Regions from separate parts of the Mus musculus genome. Here regions 1 and 2 are each reported to be linked to region 3. The links are microRNA targets in miRTarBase. Many come from high-throughput screens and were not tested one by one. Region 3 holds a microRNA gene; each other region holds the end of a gene's coding sequence.

Region 1 (5,000 bases), not on the chromosome of region 3:
GGCAAGCCTTGACATACATCATGATGGCAGGGGCATGTGGCAGAGATGGCTGAGTGGAGTCAAGGGTCTGGGGACCAGGCATCAGGGCATGCCCCTAGTAACCTAATATTTCCAGTGACATCCTATCTCCTACATTTTCCACACTCTCCCCAAATAGTGCCACTAGCTGGTGACCAAGCATTCAATAAATAGCCCTGTAGGGGACATTTGATATTCACACCGTAAGAGTTGGCCTGTGACAGTCACTCCAAGTCAAGTCTGGCTCACAGAGCAACCATCAACTGAGCCTGTGTGGTAGAATATCTGTGGAGTCCCAGACATGGGGGTACGCAGAGGTCTGACTCCTAAATCTGTCCAAATTTGGATATTGTCTCTTTTCAAAATAGGTCGGGGCTATGGTATGCTGAAAATGCAGGTTTGTTTCCAAAGGCTCTGAATGCCTTCATTCTCCTCTCCCCTCTGCCTCCCTCCCCCCTCCCTCTCTCCTCCTTCCTTGTTTGAACAGGTTATTTCAACAGCTTGGTTTGGGGGGTCACATATTTTCTCCCTGTTGATCCAGTTTGTTGTTGAGGCTTAGTGACGTGTGTGTGTGTGTGTGTGTGTGTGTGTGTGTGTGTGTGTGTGTGTTAATCTGACTTACAGAGATGATAATTCACAGGCCTCCTTTCCCTTGCCTGGTCTGAAACCAAGGTGATACCATGTCCATACTACTCAATCCTTAAGAGTCCAGTCACCTCCCGTGTCCCCTAAACACCTGTTACTTTGGCTTTTCTGTGAAGAAAAAAAAAAGAGCCACCTTGTCTTCTGAAGATTATTTTAAAAACATTTACATTTTCACATGCACCAGTCTCTGGAACCACGTTGGAGAATTTGCATCTTTTGGTCAGTACCGAGGTGCTCCCGGATGGGAAGCCGGTGCTTTGCCTTAGAAGTAAACTTGTAGCTAACCGTTTGCTTACAGTGTGTAGAAGAGAGGGTCCCTTATTAGGACTGTTCTAAAGTGCATCCAAGGGCCAGGTGTGTGGCTCACGTGTCCTCTCAGAGCTCGAGGGGCGGCTAGCCTGAGCTACACAGTGAGACCCAAAGAGGGTTATTGACAAAGGGGTGTCATCTCACCGGTGACTCTAGGGTACCTGGGCTGGTGAGCAGGTGAGCAGGTCTTCAGCTCACCTGCATTTACAGCATCTACCATGGCTGAAAGGCCATGTAACCACGGGCCATGAAAAGTCATTATAGATATACTCTAGACAGACGTGCACACCCATCATCTAAGCGATACTTAACCAGTAATTGGCCAACCTCGGAAACCTGTTCCTTTAAAAACATTAATAAGACACTTATTAAACCTCGTTAGGCCACAGCATTGTTTGTAAAACTGATTTTATTAAAATGCTCATTAATTAAAAAATATTAAAATGCATAGAAATTAACAGACATCAGTTACAAACATTACACCGGGGACACAGTGTATGGGAAGCATCACGAGTCCCTTTTCAGCTGAGCTCTGCACTGTCTCCACTTCTCAACCATTGTAGGAACGAACACAAGGAGCACACAAGACCTGTGAGACCAACTCACCCCGCTCTGCCCCATCACAAACGGATGTCCTATGAAACTCAAGACCCACGTGCCCTGCAAAGGGGAAACCTTGACAAACTCATTACCAGACGGCCTCTTTCAATTTCAAGAAAAATTGTGGTCTTCTACTTCTAACGGAATACCTAAAACATCCGAGGAGCATTTAAGGAAAAATCCCCTGAGTACTGGGTCTACCACATTAATCCATTAAAATGCAAAGGCATTACAAAAGGATGGAACTTCTCTAGTGGCTCATGCTAGACAGGTGGGTGGCCACAGTCATGCCCTTGGTTTTCCTGGGCCTGGGGTCTACCTCACTGCCACCGAAGGTGTCCCCTGTTCCTATCCATCACCAACTTGGCACAGGCCTCATAGGAATGACACTGACGCCATTGGGAACCTACAGCTCACAGCAACCTTGCTGTCATTCAGCATTCTGGTAGCATCAGATGCCATGAGTGCTCCTTTCAGAAAAGGAAGTTTTTTTTTTTTTTTTTTTTTTTTTTTTCCTCCTTCTTCTGTCCATAGTGGTACTTTCTACTTTGTGAAGGGAGTTCTTGGCTGGGGAATATAGATGAAGAAATGCACTTTTTATTTGACATTTTTCTTTGTGTCTACAAAGAAAGGAAGGGAAAATTTCCTCTTTCTATGGTATGGAGTGGGAGTACTTTCCTGTCCTTAGGAAGTGAGCACAGGCTCTGGAAAAGAGGTAACAGAGGGAGCAGGGCACTCCAGGGCAATCTGGGGGTAGGGGCAAGGAGTGGCACTTGGTTTCAGCTGTGCAATGAGAGCATCCCTCAGGGAGGAAGGTAGTCATTTTTATCTCAGCACAGATAGACACTGTATGGCGGGCTCTGGACTCCCAGGACAAGGGAGGAGGGGAAATACTCCCACACTGACCCCCTGGGCTACTCAAAAGCCCAGAACACTGCTTTGATTAATCATGTTGATTCTCAATTCTCTAGTAAATCATTCGTGGTGGGCATTTAATACCACGGGTGTTGAGAAGGCAGTCTCTAAAACCGCTCACTTTCCTTGGCTTGGTTCCTAGGCACCGAGGCATTCCACACCCATCCAGTCAGCAGCGGCCCGATCCCCAAACAGTGTGAGGCAGGTCCTCCCTTCTTCACCCAGCACTGACCTCTGTGATCAGTCAAGGGTGCGAGGTATCGCCATGTCTCCTCCAGATGGACTGGAGGAGAAGCGGAGCACAGGCTGCAGAGAGACTGCTCAGCCAAGCAACAGGGAGGGCAAGGCACTAGGAAGCTGAGGCTTCGCAGCAAGCCACCAGCAGATAAACCAGCCTTTCCCATAACCCCCTGATGGCTTGAGAGGAGGCTTGGGGCTCAAATTCAACCCAGGGTTTCCTTCCTCAAAGGGCAACAATCTTGGTAGACTTGTCTCCAGCCCAGCTGTGATTACAAACGAGTTAGCAGGCAACGAATGGAGCTGGGCAAGGAAGCTGGTCACCGTGGCAAGCAGAGAAGTCAGTAGGGTTCCCAGTGAGTGACATCTGCCACAGAGGGATCACAGGATATGGCTAGTGATTGGGTAGCTGGCTGTTGCTCTGACTACGCCCAGTGTCGTCAGGCCACCAGCCTTTTTCAGCGAGCAAGGCAGAAGGCGCTTGGTGATTGGTAGTGCCACCCTTCTGCATCTGCTAAGTCCGTTCTCATGAAGTGGATGGGCTTCCCGGCCCATGATGCTGAGGACGAGACAGTTACAATCATTTGATTATCATCTACCAAGAAGAGATAAATTAACCGTTCAGATCAACAAGGGCTGCTACCTTTTCATCTTATATACCCTTAAGATCTGAAAGCCAGTCAACATTGGTCAGACCCAGAGCATGCTGGGAGTATTGCTAGAGAGCAAATGTCACCGTGGAGTAACAGGGACAGGCTTCTTCATTCAATACCCTCCATCTTCATGCCAATCTAAGACGAGTATTTCTTGGAGGTGGAAATACAGGCTGAAATGATACAGAAGCTGTTTCATACGCAGCGGAGTCTCCTTCCTTGGAGTGTACAGTAAGACACTGAAATACTGTGAACTCTTGAGCCTACCTGGGACCTAACACAGCATCCAAACTCAATCCTGAGCTGGCTATTGTTGATAACACAGAGGCGATTAAGGCTGAGGTCTGCCTGGTCTTTGGTGATGGTGCTGTCCGGACAAAATAGGTCTGGGATAGATTTGGCAAAATGCAAAATTAAGCACAGAAAAGGAGCTCTGCACACGTGAGGTCAGAAAAGCGAAGTCCCGGGGAGAACTTGGGCACACCTCAGGGCTTTTTTTCCTGTTACTAAAATTCCAATTTATCAAAAGAGGGAGCATGTTCAGGACCTCCAGGTAGGTGGTTTTAGGCTCTGCCTGATCAGTTTTCTGTTCTCCAGTTTCCACACTGCTTGCTGAAACTGGAAGATGACACAGGCAGAAATGGGCATGGGCAAGACTCCGCCTGCCTAGGAGTTCCAATGCCATCCTCTCTAGTGCTTCACACACGTCTGACAGCTAATTCTCTTTAAAGTGCTTCTCCAGGCCTAAAGCTCCCGCTCATTCGAGTTTTGGCCGCACGCTGTTGTCAACCGTTCCTCCTATCCTCTCGGCGATGATCCCCATGTTTTTGGTCAGGTCTTTGAGGTGACTCTCGTGAAGCAACTTCTGCGTGAGGTATTTCTCCCTCTTGATCTTGCTTTTCGTGATTTTGGACACATCTGGAATTGCGTAGGAAATGAAGAACTTCACAGAGTAGATGATGTGCTGCAAGGAAGAGAGAAGACCGTGTCAGAGGGGGGCCGAGTCCCCGAGCTTTACTCATGTCATTATGATGGTGTGTCCGGACAGGGTAGACACCGTGGCCCTTCAGTCTCAAAGCAACGGGATATAAGGGAGTGATCTGTCCGTGTTCAGCGGTACCATGTTCCTTTAGCATGAGCGAGGAGTCCACCTGACTGTGTGTGTTCTCATCCACATACTACAGACTACCACTCCAGCACACGGGAGACCGAGTCTGATGTCAGTTTGGATGATGTAGTGAAACAAAAAATAATAAAACGAACGCCCCCAAATCGTCCATTAAGCTAAAAACCCAGACCCCTGACAGTGCTGTTGTATTTCCTAATTCTCTGTTCCTTTCTCAAAGGTACTCTCCTATATGCGATGTTACTATAAAGGAAAGAAGAAACCAAAATATATACGTGTTCACCAATACGTATTTACTCTTGATTTGAGCTTTATAATAGTACTTGACAGTATTTCAAAAACAGCCTTACTTACTTTCTATGTGTTTTCCCTGTATGTATGTGTGTGTCCCATGTGTGTACACCACCCATGGATGCTAGAACGGGATATCGGAGCCCCTGGAACTGGAGCTACAGATGGCTGTGAGCTGCCATGTGGGGGCTGGGCACTGTTGCAGA
Region 2 (5,000 bases), not on the chromosome of region 3:
GAAGAGGAGGAACAGGACCTGAAGTCAGACCACTAGTGGTGTCTGGTTCAGCGTCTTACTTCTCCTCCAGATAGCAGGGTAGTAGAGGGTCGTGCGCAGAGGGACTGGAGTCTTTCTGGCTTTGCAAACACAGGTATCATTGAGACGTCGCCTGGGTGAGACATCTGATGGACCGGCCACTGTACTGATGCATTGTGGGTAGAAAGGTTTCTGTGCTCACAGTGGTGTCTGCGAATTTCATCTTCCCAGGAACAAGAAAGGACTGTGCCAGTGCTGATGTCCTCTGTCTATGGGAAACGCATCAATCAGCCCATTGAGCCCCTAAACAGAGACTATGGCCATGTGAGCCACGTGAAGACCGACTTCTACAGGAAGAACGAGATCCCCAGCATCAAGGGGCCCGGCTTTGGGCACATCAATCCAGCCTGAAGAAGTCGTGTGGTTTCTAGGGCACTCTGAGGTACCCTATCAGCAAGTGATGTAGTATACGAACCATTTTCCTGTTCATGTCACCTGTAGCTGTAAGAATGTTCTTTGACTGCAGGAGGATAAGCACGTGCATATCTAAGGTGGTCCTGGCTCAGAACCTGGAAAAGCACCTTTCCTTATGTTGAAAGCTTTAGGGTAAGGATTTTCACTGGACTTATTTAAAATGACACTGACTGATTCATTCTGAGACCCTGAATAAAAGAAAAGCTTGCCTCCCGTTGGTAGCAGCTGTGTTTGTTTTGTGGGCTGGCTCTTCACTTTGCAAGGATTTGTTGGGGAAGGGGTCACAGGAGAAACGTGCCGGTCCTTCTCCCTGCCCACAATGCAAACAACCCCTTTTCTGTTTCTCTGAGAGGAACAAAAATGGCTCTCAACATGACTGAGCACTTTGTTTTCTTGAGGTCATAGATAAACTGAATTTTGAACAATGGAGCATTAAAGCCCCCTGTACATCCATACTGCCACCCCTCCAGGGAGAATGTGTTACAGATTCAGGGCGCAGGCTGGACTCTGGGAAAAGTCTGCCTGTTACGTTCTCTCTCTGTGATCTGATGTTGTGTCATCTTTAGGTGAAATTTCTAATCAGAATACTGCCAGAGTACAGCCATGCTCAGGGTTCACAGCCCTGAGCACTGAAACTGTCCTTACCCTTGTTATTCTTCACACAGAGGTTTGAACCCAGGACCTTGCACACTGTGCCCCTGAGATCTATCTGCAGCCCATGGCTGTCACTTTGGACAGCAGTTTCCTCTTCTGGAAGCAGCTGATTTTAACCCAGGTTGGAAGTATTTATTTTGCAAGAGAATCTGACATACACTCAAGCACTAAGATATATTTTTAATGAATGTATTTTTGGAAGAAAGCATCTCTCATCTACTGCGATTGAATTTCCCAGAGCTGAGCAGTTAATGGGCAGGTGATGCAATTAATTTTGGTGCTCAACCACTGGTTTTATTGTTTTGAATCTGCAAGATGGTTTCATGATCCAAAATTGCTGGCCATTTCAAGGATGAGTAACTCCTAAATACTTATATTCCGAATTTTCCAGTGTTGTTGCTCTTTTTCCCCAAAATAAATAGTAGTATATTGTGAGTTGCTCTTGGGCACATTAAACTATACTTGTAATAATATAAAAAAGAAAATTAAATGGATTTCTGTTCGCTTCTCCTCTCTAATTAATGAATACCAGGTAGAGACATCTTAAGGGGGATACTATTATTATTATTATTATTATTATTTTTAAAGATTTATTTTAACTTAGGTGTATGTGTGTACATCTGTGTGTGGATATGTGCACAGCTGCTGGTGCCTGCTGAGGTCAGAAGAGAATGTCAGATCTCATGAAGCTGGGGTTGTGGTAGCTGTGAAAACCATGATCTCATGGATGCTGGGAAGTGAACTTGAGGCCTCTGCAATAGCAGTGTGCAGTGTCAAGTGCTGAGCCTCGTCTCCAGTTCAGAGAGTACATTCCTGTATTAATAGATTGTGTTTCCACTTATCCAACCACCACCACTGTTTGGTGTTGGTTCCTGCACGCGGATGCTGATAAATAAGCAAAGGAAGGCAGAGAAGATCTGAGGGCCACTGGCTTCTGAAGATCAGTCAGGAGGCAGAGAGAGCACCGGAGGTCTGATTGACAGCACACTCCAGCCAGCTGCGGACAGTGACGTTAAAGCATGGGAGTTAGGGAACTGGACCGATGGCTTTTAGGAGAGGCTTCCTGTAATGCTAAAAGGTGAGGGGTGCTTGTGAAGGAACTTCTCCATGACTCCTCTGATTTTCTCGTTTCTAGTGATTATTTTTATCAAGGTCAAGGAACTCGGATCAGGAGTGGCTGCTTGGGATTTGATGAAACAGGCAGTTTCCTTACCTTAGCAGTGCCTTGGCCACACAGCAGCCACTAGACTAGGAACAACAGGCTAGATGTCTCCGCACCTGTCTCCTCATTTATAAACTGAAGGGGAGGGAGGCTCAGATTTGGGAAGGTGATCTGAATCACTTGGGGATTTTTAAAATGTAATACACAGAAGAAAGTCCCTTTGGGAATCTGTCAATGTGCTCTAGGCCAGCTTTCTTCCTTAGGGGTTCAGGTCTGGATTGAGAATATATTGGCTGAGATCCCTCCTGGAGAGGCTGGTGTGAGCCCAGATCTGTAAAAGGTACATGCAGACAAGGACTTTAGCTGCTGTCAAATTTTACTGATGCTTCAGACAGGTAATTTAGCTCTGCCTTCTATCCTTCCAGTTCTTTTTTTTTTTTTTTTTCTTTCCATTTTTTATTAGGTATTTAGCTCATTTACATTTCCAATGCTATACCAAAAGTCCCCCATACCCACCCACCCCCACTCCCCTACCCGCCCACTCCCCCTTTTTGGCCCTGGCGTTCCCCTGTTCTGGGGCATATAAAGTTTGTGTGTCCAATGGGCCTCTCTTTCCAGTGATGGCCGACTAGGCCATCTTTTGATACATATGCAGCTAGAGTCAAGAGCTCCGGGGTACTGGTTAGTTCATAATGTTGATCCACCTATAGGGTTGCAGATCCCTTTAGCTCCTTGGGTACTTTCTCTAGCTCCTCCATTGGGAGCCCTGTGATCCATCCATTAGCTGACTGTGGGCATCCACTTCTGTGTTTGCTAGGCCCCGGCATAGTCTCACAAGAGACAACTACATCTGGGTCCTTTCGATAAAATCTTGCTAGTGTATGCAATGGTGTCAGCAAACGAGGAGTTGGTTCTTTGAGAAAATCAACAAGATAGATAAACCCTTAGCTAGACTCACTAGAGGGCACAGAGACAAAATCCTAATTAACAAAATCAGAACTGAAAAGGGAGACATAACAACAGATCCTGAAGAAATCCAAAACACCATCAGATCCTTCTACAAAAGGCTATACTCAACAAAACTGGAAAACCTGGACGAAATGGACAAATTTCTGGACAGGTACCAGGTACCAAAGTTGAATCAGGATCAAGTTGACCTTCTAAACAGTCCCATATCCCCTAAAGAAATAGAAGCAGTTATAAATAGTCTCCCAGCCAAAAAAAGCCCAGGACCAGACGGGTTTAGTGCAGAGTTCTATCGGACCTTCAAAGAAGATCTAATTCCAGTTCTGCACAAACTTTTTCACAAGATAGAAGTAGAAAGTACTCTACCCAACTCATTTTATGAAGCCACTATTACTCTGATACCTAAACCACAGAAAGATCCAACAAAGATAGAGAACTTCAGACCAATTTCTCTTATGAATATCGATGCAAAAATCCTCAATAAAATTCTCGCTAACCGAATCCAAGATCACATTAAAGCAATCATCCATCCTGACCAAGTAGGTTTTATTCCAGGAATGCAGGGATGGTTTAATATACGAAAATCCATCAATGTAATCCACTATATAAACAAACTCAAAGACAAAAACCACATGATCATCTCGTTGGATGCAGAAAAAGCATTTGACAAGATCCAACACCCATTCATGATAAAAGTTCTGGAAAGATCAGGAATTCAAGGCCCATACCTAGACATGATAAAAGCAATCTACAGCAAACCAGTAGCCAACATCAAAGTAAATGGAGAGAAGCTGGAAGCAATCCCACTAAAATCAGGGACTAGACAAGGCTGCCCACTTTCACCCTACCTTTTCAACATAGTACTTGAAGTATTAGCCAGAGCAATTCGACAACAAAAGGAGATCAAGGGGATACAAATTGGAAAGGAGGAAGTCAAAATATCACTTTTTGCAGATGATATGATAGTATATATAAGTGACCCTAAAAATTCCACCAGAGAACTCCTAAACCTGATAAACAGCTTCGGTGAAGTAGCTGGATATAAAATTAACTCAAACAAGTCAATGGCCTTTCTCTACACAAAGAATAAACAGGCTGAGAAAGAAATTAGGGAAACAACACCCTTCTCAATAGTCACAAATAATATAAAATATCTCGGCGTGACTCTAACTAAGGAAGTGAAAGATCTGTATGATAAAAACTTCAAGTCTCTGAAGAAAGAAATTAAAGAAGATCTCAGAAGATGGAAAGATCTCCCATGCTCATGGATTGGCAGGATCAATATTGTAAAAATGGCTATCTTGCCAAAAGCAATCTACAGATTCAATGCAATCCCCATCAAAATTCCAACTCAATTCTTCAATGAATTAGAAGGAGCAATTTGCAAATTCATCTGGAATAACAAAAAACCTAGGATAGCAAAAACTCTTCTCAAGGATAAAAGAACCTCTGGTGGAATCACCATGCCGGACCTAAAGCTTTACTACAGAGCAATTGTGGTAAAAACTGCATGGTACTGGTATAGAGACAGACAAGTAGACCAATGGAATAGAATTGAAGACCCAGAAATGAACCCACACACCTATGGTCACTTGATCTTCGACAAGGGAGCTAAAACCATCCAGTGGAAGAAAGACAGCATTTTCAACAAATGGTGCTGGCACAACTGGTTGTTATCATGTAGAAGAATGCGAATCGATCCATACTTATCTCCTTGTACTAAGGT
Region 3 (5,175 bases):
TGTGCATCCACACACAAATAGAGAATAATGCACATCTCAAAGAGAAACCCAGCACTAGGCTGTTTCAGTGTGTACAGGAGCCCGTGGCTGGCTAGTGTAGTTTTCATAAGAGAAGTAGCCAAGAAGATAGATTCTTTTCTATGGGGCAGTAGGAGCTGGCCCATCTTCAGGGTCAGGCTCAGCCTTAGTAAGCAGCTGCGGTTCCTACCCCACACTTCAGCCACCTTTAGGAAGATGTCAGAAGGAGGAGGTTTCATTTTCTTCCTACCTATGCAAGTCTTTATGGGTATCTATATTCACCTCCCAGGGACCCACATACATTGGGAAAGGAACTTTGGCTATTTGTATGCCCGCCCCAAAAAAGTTAGACCCCCAGTTTAGGTCTGCCTAAATTTCTACCTATTTTTGTCAAATTGAAAGATGGTGTCTGGAGGTTTGAAATACAACAATCAGTGCCAAGGCAGTGTTGAGGACATGTATGCAGCAGACAGGAGGCTAATGAATCTGTTAAGGCTGGAGGCTTCTTAAAGTCGTCAAGGCTTCAGACCTATCTCCTAAGCACTGGCCTTGATGGCAGGCACATTTCAGATTTTCCTCATCAAGGCATAATTTGAGATTTTTGACCTCTGACTTTTGTGTTTGCTGGGGTTTCGTTCCTGGTGCCCTGGGGCTCTTGGATCATCTGATACTGTCAGAGTTTAAGATCTGACAGTCCGGTCAGGGACAACTGCATTTTCGGGTTAGGTTTTTGTTTCTGCTTTGCAAGTCAAGTTAATAGAACTTGAGAAGTATACTTTAAAGGTGAATCTTAAAAATAAGGTTGTGCCGGGCGGTGGTGGCGCACGCCTTTGATCCCAGCACTCGGGAGGCAGAGGCAGGCGGATTTCTGAGTTCGAGGTCAGCCTGGTCTACAAAGTGAGTTCCAGGACAGCCAGGGCTACACAGAGAAACCCTGTCTCAAACCCCCCCCTTCCAAAAAAAAAATATATATATATATATAAAAGGTTGTGAGGTTTGCAGCTTAATCTGCGTGTCTTATGCTTGTCTAGTCTATCCCAAGAGGCCTTTTCACAGGGGATGACTCTGTGTTTTGGTCAGTTGACACCTGCAATCTGTGAATGGGCCTGCTGCTCGTGTATCACCCATATTCCACTATTTTCCAGCATCCCCTGGCCTCCACCCTGTCCTTCTCTAGGGTCCTCCTCAGCTCTTGTCTGTTTTTCTCTGACTGGTTGCTCATTTGCGTCAACATTCTTGATTTGGAAAACAGACTTACTGGGATCTCCTTCATCCTGCAGGATTGTTCTTATAGCATAAGTCGATAACGTAAGAACATGGTGCCTGACTAGTAAATGGTAATGCTATCACCTCTGTCACCATCACTATGACCAGACATATGCTTTCTGACACCTTCATTTTTCATCTTTGTGTGGAAGATAAGGTCTTTCATGGATCCCTAGTTGGGTAAGAGGGCGGGCGACAGGGCTACCGTAAATACAAGACACGGTCCAGACCAGTCTCCTAAGTATTTTATCTGGTCCTCACCACTGTCAGACCGTGTGATTGAGTGGGGAGGGAACATAGAGCTGGGGTCCCAGTTTCTGAACACTGTACTCCCTCTGATACCCCATTGGCAGAGAAAATGATTCCCGTCCCTCAGGACCACTGCACTTTATAGTGTCTTAGGCTGTTAGACTTGTCTCCAGTTCCTTTCCTAAGGAAAAAAACCCAGACTTGTGTGAGAGGGATGTTCTAGAAGCTTGGTTGGTAGCAGTAAGAAGTTGGGGTCTTCTTGAAGGGAAATGATGAGGCTGTTACAGTAATGAAGAGTAATGGTTGCCAGACTGTACAGCGTGAAGATGCTTATGGAATGAGTAAAATGGGGAGAAATGATAACACCTAGGCATCCATGGTTAGTGCTTATGTCACAAAGCTGGGAACTAACGGAGATGATCAGCAAAGAACAGCTAAGACTTGAAATGGGACCAGGGAACGGCAGGCTCTGTGTTTTACAGTTCTGGAAAACAATGTTTGAAAACCACACACATTGAAAATGAGGGGGGCTGGAGAGAGGGCTCAGCGGTTAAGAGCACTGACTGCTCTCCCAGAGGTCCCGAGTTCAATTCCCAACAACCACATGGTGGCTCACAACCATCTGTGATGGGATCCGATGCCCTCTTCTGGTGTGTCTGAAGAGAGTGCCAGTGTACTCACTTAAAATAAATAAGTAAATCTTAAGAAAAGAAAATGAGGGATGGTTGCCGGAGGCGGCCTGTGTGGACCCCTTATGTGTACACTGCTAGGCATTATCCATGAAAGTGTCTCAAAGCAGCTTATCATCCCAAAGCATGTAGCCCCGGGCTTGCAAGGAGGGCCGTCCACCGTGGGAAACTTCTTGCACAATGCATAACATCCTCCTGACAGTTACAAAAGAACTTTTCCTCGGCTTAAAAGAAAAAAAATTACCGAAACAGCAAAACCAGCTAATATTTGAGGTTACTTTTCTCCATCCTGTCCTGTAACCTTAAAGACAAAAATCCTCAGGGTGCCATAAATGGCAGCTGCTCCTGCATACTTGCCATAGTGACTGTGGCCACCCACCCCCATACCACGTGAATGAGGTTATCCTCCACCCAGGCAGAGCACCTGTGCTGCTTGGAGGACTAGTTTGGGGAGGGAGGGAGGGAGGGTGATGACTTCCAGCTGTTTTGATTACCTGGTTCTCAGGTTACCTGTTTTAAAAGGAGACTAGTCTGTGGCATGTGAAGATGGTTCTGGTGTAGTTCCACCCTTGGGCCCTGACCATGGAAGCACCTCCCTTTACCTGTAATCTCTCAGACGTGAGTGACAGACAGGTGCACAGACTCCCTTTTCATTTGGGGAAAGGAGCCCAGGCTCAGAGTGTGTGCCACCAGCATTGTTGCTAATGGCATCCTTGCCACACCTACAGACACGCCTGTGTTCCAAGGCAGGCTGGGAGATACTGCAGAGGTGACTGACTCCCACAGCCATATTCTCAAGCTCAGTCAAACCTGGATGCCTTTTCTGCAGGCCTCTGTGTGATATGTTTGATATATTAGGTTGTTATTTAATCCAACTATATATCAAGCATATTCCTACAGTGTCTTGCCCTGTCTCCGGGGGTCCTAACAAAGTTTAGAAGCAACAGGAAAAAATATATTAAAAAATCACAAGTAGGTTTAGATGACAGAGTGCGTATGTTGTTATGTTTCATTCCATTTCTTCGTGTAGCCTTTAAGACCTGTGTCTTAGTTACCTTTCTGTTGCTGTGACAGGATGCCCCAACCAAAAGCAACTTAAGGCAAAAGGGTGTATTATGGCTTAGTTTATCAGGGGCCAGACCATCAAAGAGGGAAGGCCGGCAGTCAGGAAGTAGAGAGATAGGACAGCAGATGGAGCCAGGCCATAAAACCTCAAAGGCCAGTATGTCCTTCAGCAAGGCTTTGTGAATTCCTAAAGCTTCCATAGCCAAATGGCACTGCCAGCTGAAGACCAAATGTTCAGACACACTAACTTATTATGGATGGGGGATGCTTTGTTTCAGACCACAACAAACTGTATCAATACTACTACATTATCTGTTTGTTGTGGAAAGGGAGTATAGCTCCTGAAGGCTTAAGATATTTTCTAAAGTTTAGTTGAATGCAATTAGGAGTCCTTAAGAAAAGTATTCAGTGGAAAAAGATGGAAGATAACAACCCGTGTCTTTGATATAGGACAAAGGTTAGGATTGTAACTGGCAAACACATTGATCTAGATATTTCTTCCTGACAACTCTCAACACACTCTCACAGATTAAATTTTGTAATTGTTTTCCATGCCAAAAAAAAAATCGGGACATTTATTATCTCTAACTTTCCGCTTCTGGTAACAAATCTAAACCCTGGTGACTGTGCTCACTTTACGGATGGTGAGCCCGTAAACCTTAATTGCAGACCTTAATTTGGATCAGATATGTCTGATGAAGAGAACATGCTCGGGACTGTGCTCTGTCGGTTGAGTTTTCTGTTGTAGGTGAACTTCTGCACAGAGGTTGTTAATATTTAGAAGAACCCGGCAGTCCGAAAGTAAACAAATACTCTAATTGGCTGCCGCAGGAAGTTGGGCTATGACCCAGAAAGCATTCTTTCGGGTATATATCAGCCTCTCTGGCTGCTTTGACTTCTTCCCATAAATGAGTCCGTGAACTGTATGTGAGTTTACTCTGAGCTGTCTAGCACAGAGACTATATAAGTACTTTTCCTGGAAATAGCATGGCTATGCTCCCAGGCCTTGTTGGTTTTACCTTAGGAGGAAACAACTCTTGATGGCACTCCTAACTGTGGATGAGCAAGACCTCTTACCCTACAGGGGCAGGAGAGTAGTTTGACGGGGGTCGTCAGAAAAGGAACTTGGGAATATGTAGAAGCCACCATTGGTGAACGAGTAGTTTTTTTAAGCATCGCTCTAAAAGGTCTTTCGGATGAAGACACTTGCCAGAAGTGGTGAGATTTGGGATGGGGGGTAACTCTGCTGCTGTCTGGCATTCCCATGTGGCTGATTCATATTCTGAGTGGGAGTGGGAACGGGCACACAGGTGTTCTGTGACATGGGAAAGCAAACATGTTTTCTGCATGGCTAAGCTACAGGCTTGGAGCTCACATGCCAGACCTTGGTCCCAGACAAGCAGAGAGTGTATTGCCAGGTGGTTCTCTACCAGGACCTTGTTAGGTCCTTAGATGCATAGAAGGCTCATACCAGAGATTCCTAAGATGAACCAAACTGTATCTCATTGAATAATGGAAAGGCTTCTATTGTCCATACTTCCTATATCAAGGTCCAAGTGACCCCTTCTTCCCCTTTTTGAGAGTATGACAGAATTCTAAAGAATTTATTTTCATCAGAGACTAATTATAAGATCAACTCAGTGGTATTACTTTTTATATTGAATATAAGTTACAAAAAATGTAATAAAGCAATTGTATTATATGGGGAAAAACTATTCCCAAGATACTAACTGTGCAGGCTTGGGGCTTTTCCAATGGATGCTACATGAACCTATTCCTTTATTATCTATCTGGATGTGAAGGTGGTGCGTATCCAGCTACTAACATGACTTGCTCAGCAGTGGTTTCTCTGTGTCACCCTGAGCTTCCCCTGAGACCAGGCCTCTGT

The links. The annotated mature microRNA mmu-miR-190a-5p reads UGAUAUGUUUGAUAUAUUAGGU and lies in region 3 at 3,061-3,082, shown strand. An mRNA with a match to its seed (bases 2 to 7 or 8) in the 3' UTR can be bound and repressed. Matches are read on the target gene's strand: a 7mer-m8 pairs with bases 2 to 8, a 7mer-A1 pairs with bases 2 to 7 and ends in A, and an 8mer does both.
Region 1: the mRNA of Ano6 is a reported target of mmu-miR-190a-5p. The part of its 3' UTR that is shown has no 7-base or 8-base seed match.
Region 2: miRTarBase lists 1700001L19Rik as a target of mmu-miR-190a-5p. The part of its 3' UTR that is shown has no 7-base or 8-base seed match.

The regions. Positions count from the first base shown.
Region 1 is chr15:95,971,836-95,976,835 of GRCm38, reverse strand. It overlaps Ano6 (anoctamin 6), which reads right to left. Exons shown (of 20, transcript NM_175344.4): 20 at 1,364-4,341. The coding sequence ends at 4,135. Among named protein-coding and RNA genes, the nearest start is that of Gm41389, 62 kb to the right of the region's middle.
Region 2 is chr13:68,612,581-68,617,580 of GRCm38, forward strand. 1700001L19Rik (RIKEN cDNA 1700001L19 gene) reads left to right here. Exons shown (of 3, transcript NM_027035.1): 3 at 250-1,651. The coding sequence ends at 429. Among named protein-coding and RNA genes, the nearest start is that of Gm34903, 11 kb to the left of the region's middle.
Region 3 is chr9:67,234,607-67,239,781 of GRCm38, reverse strand. Mir190a (microRNA 190a) reads left to right here and starts at 3,056; the gene lies at 3,056-3,122. All of the region lies in intron 53 of Tln2 (talin 2), which reads left to right.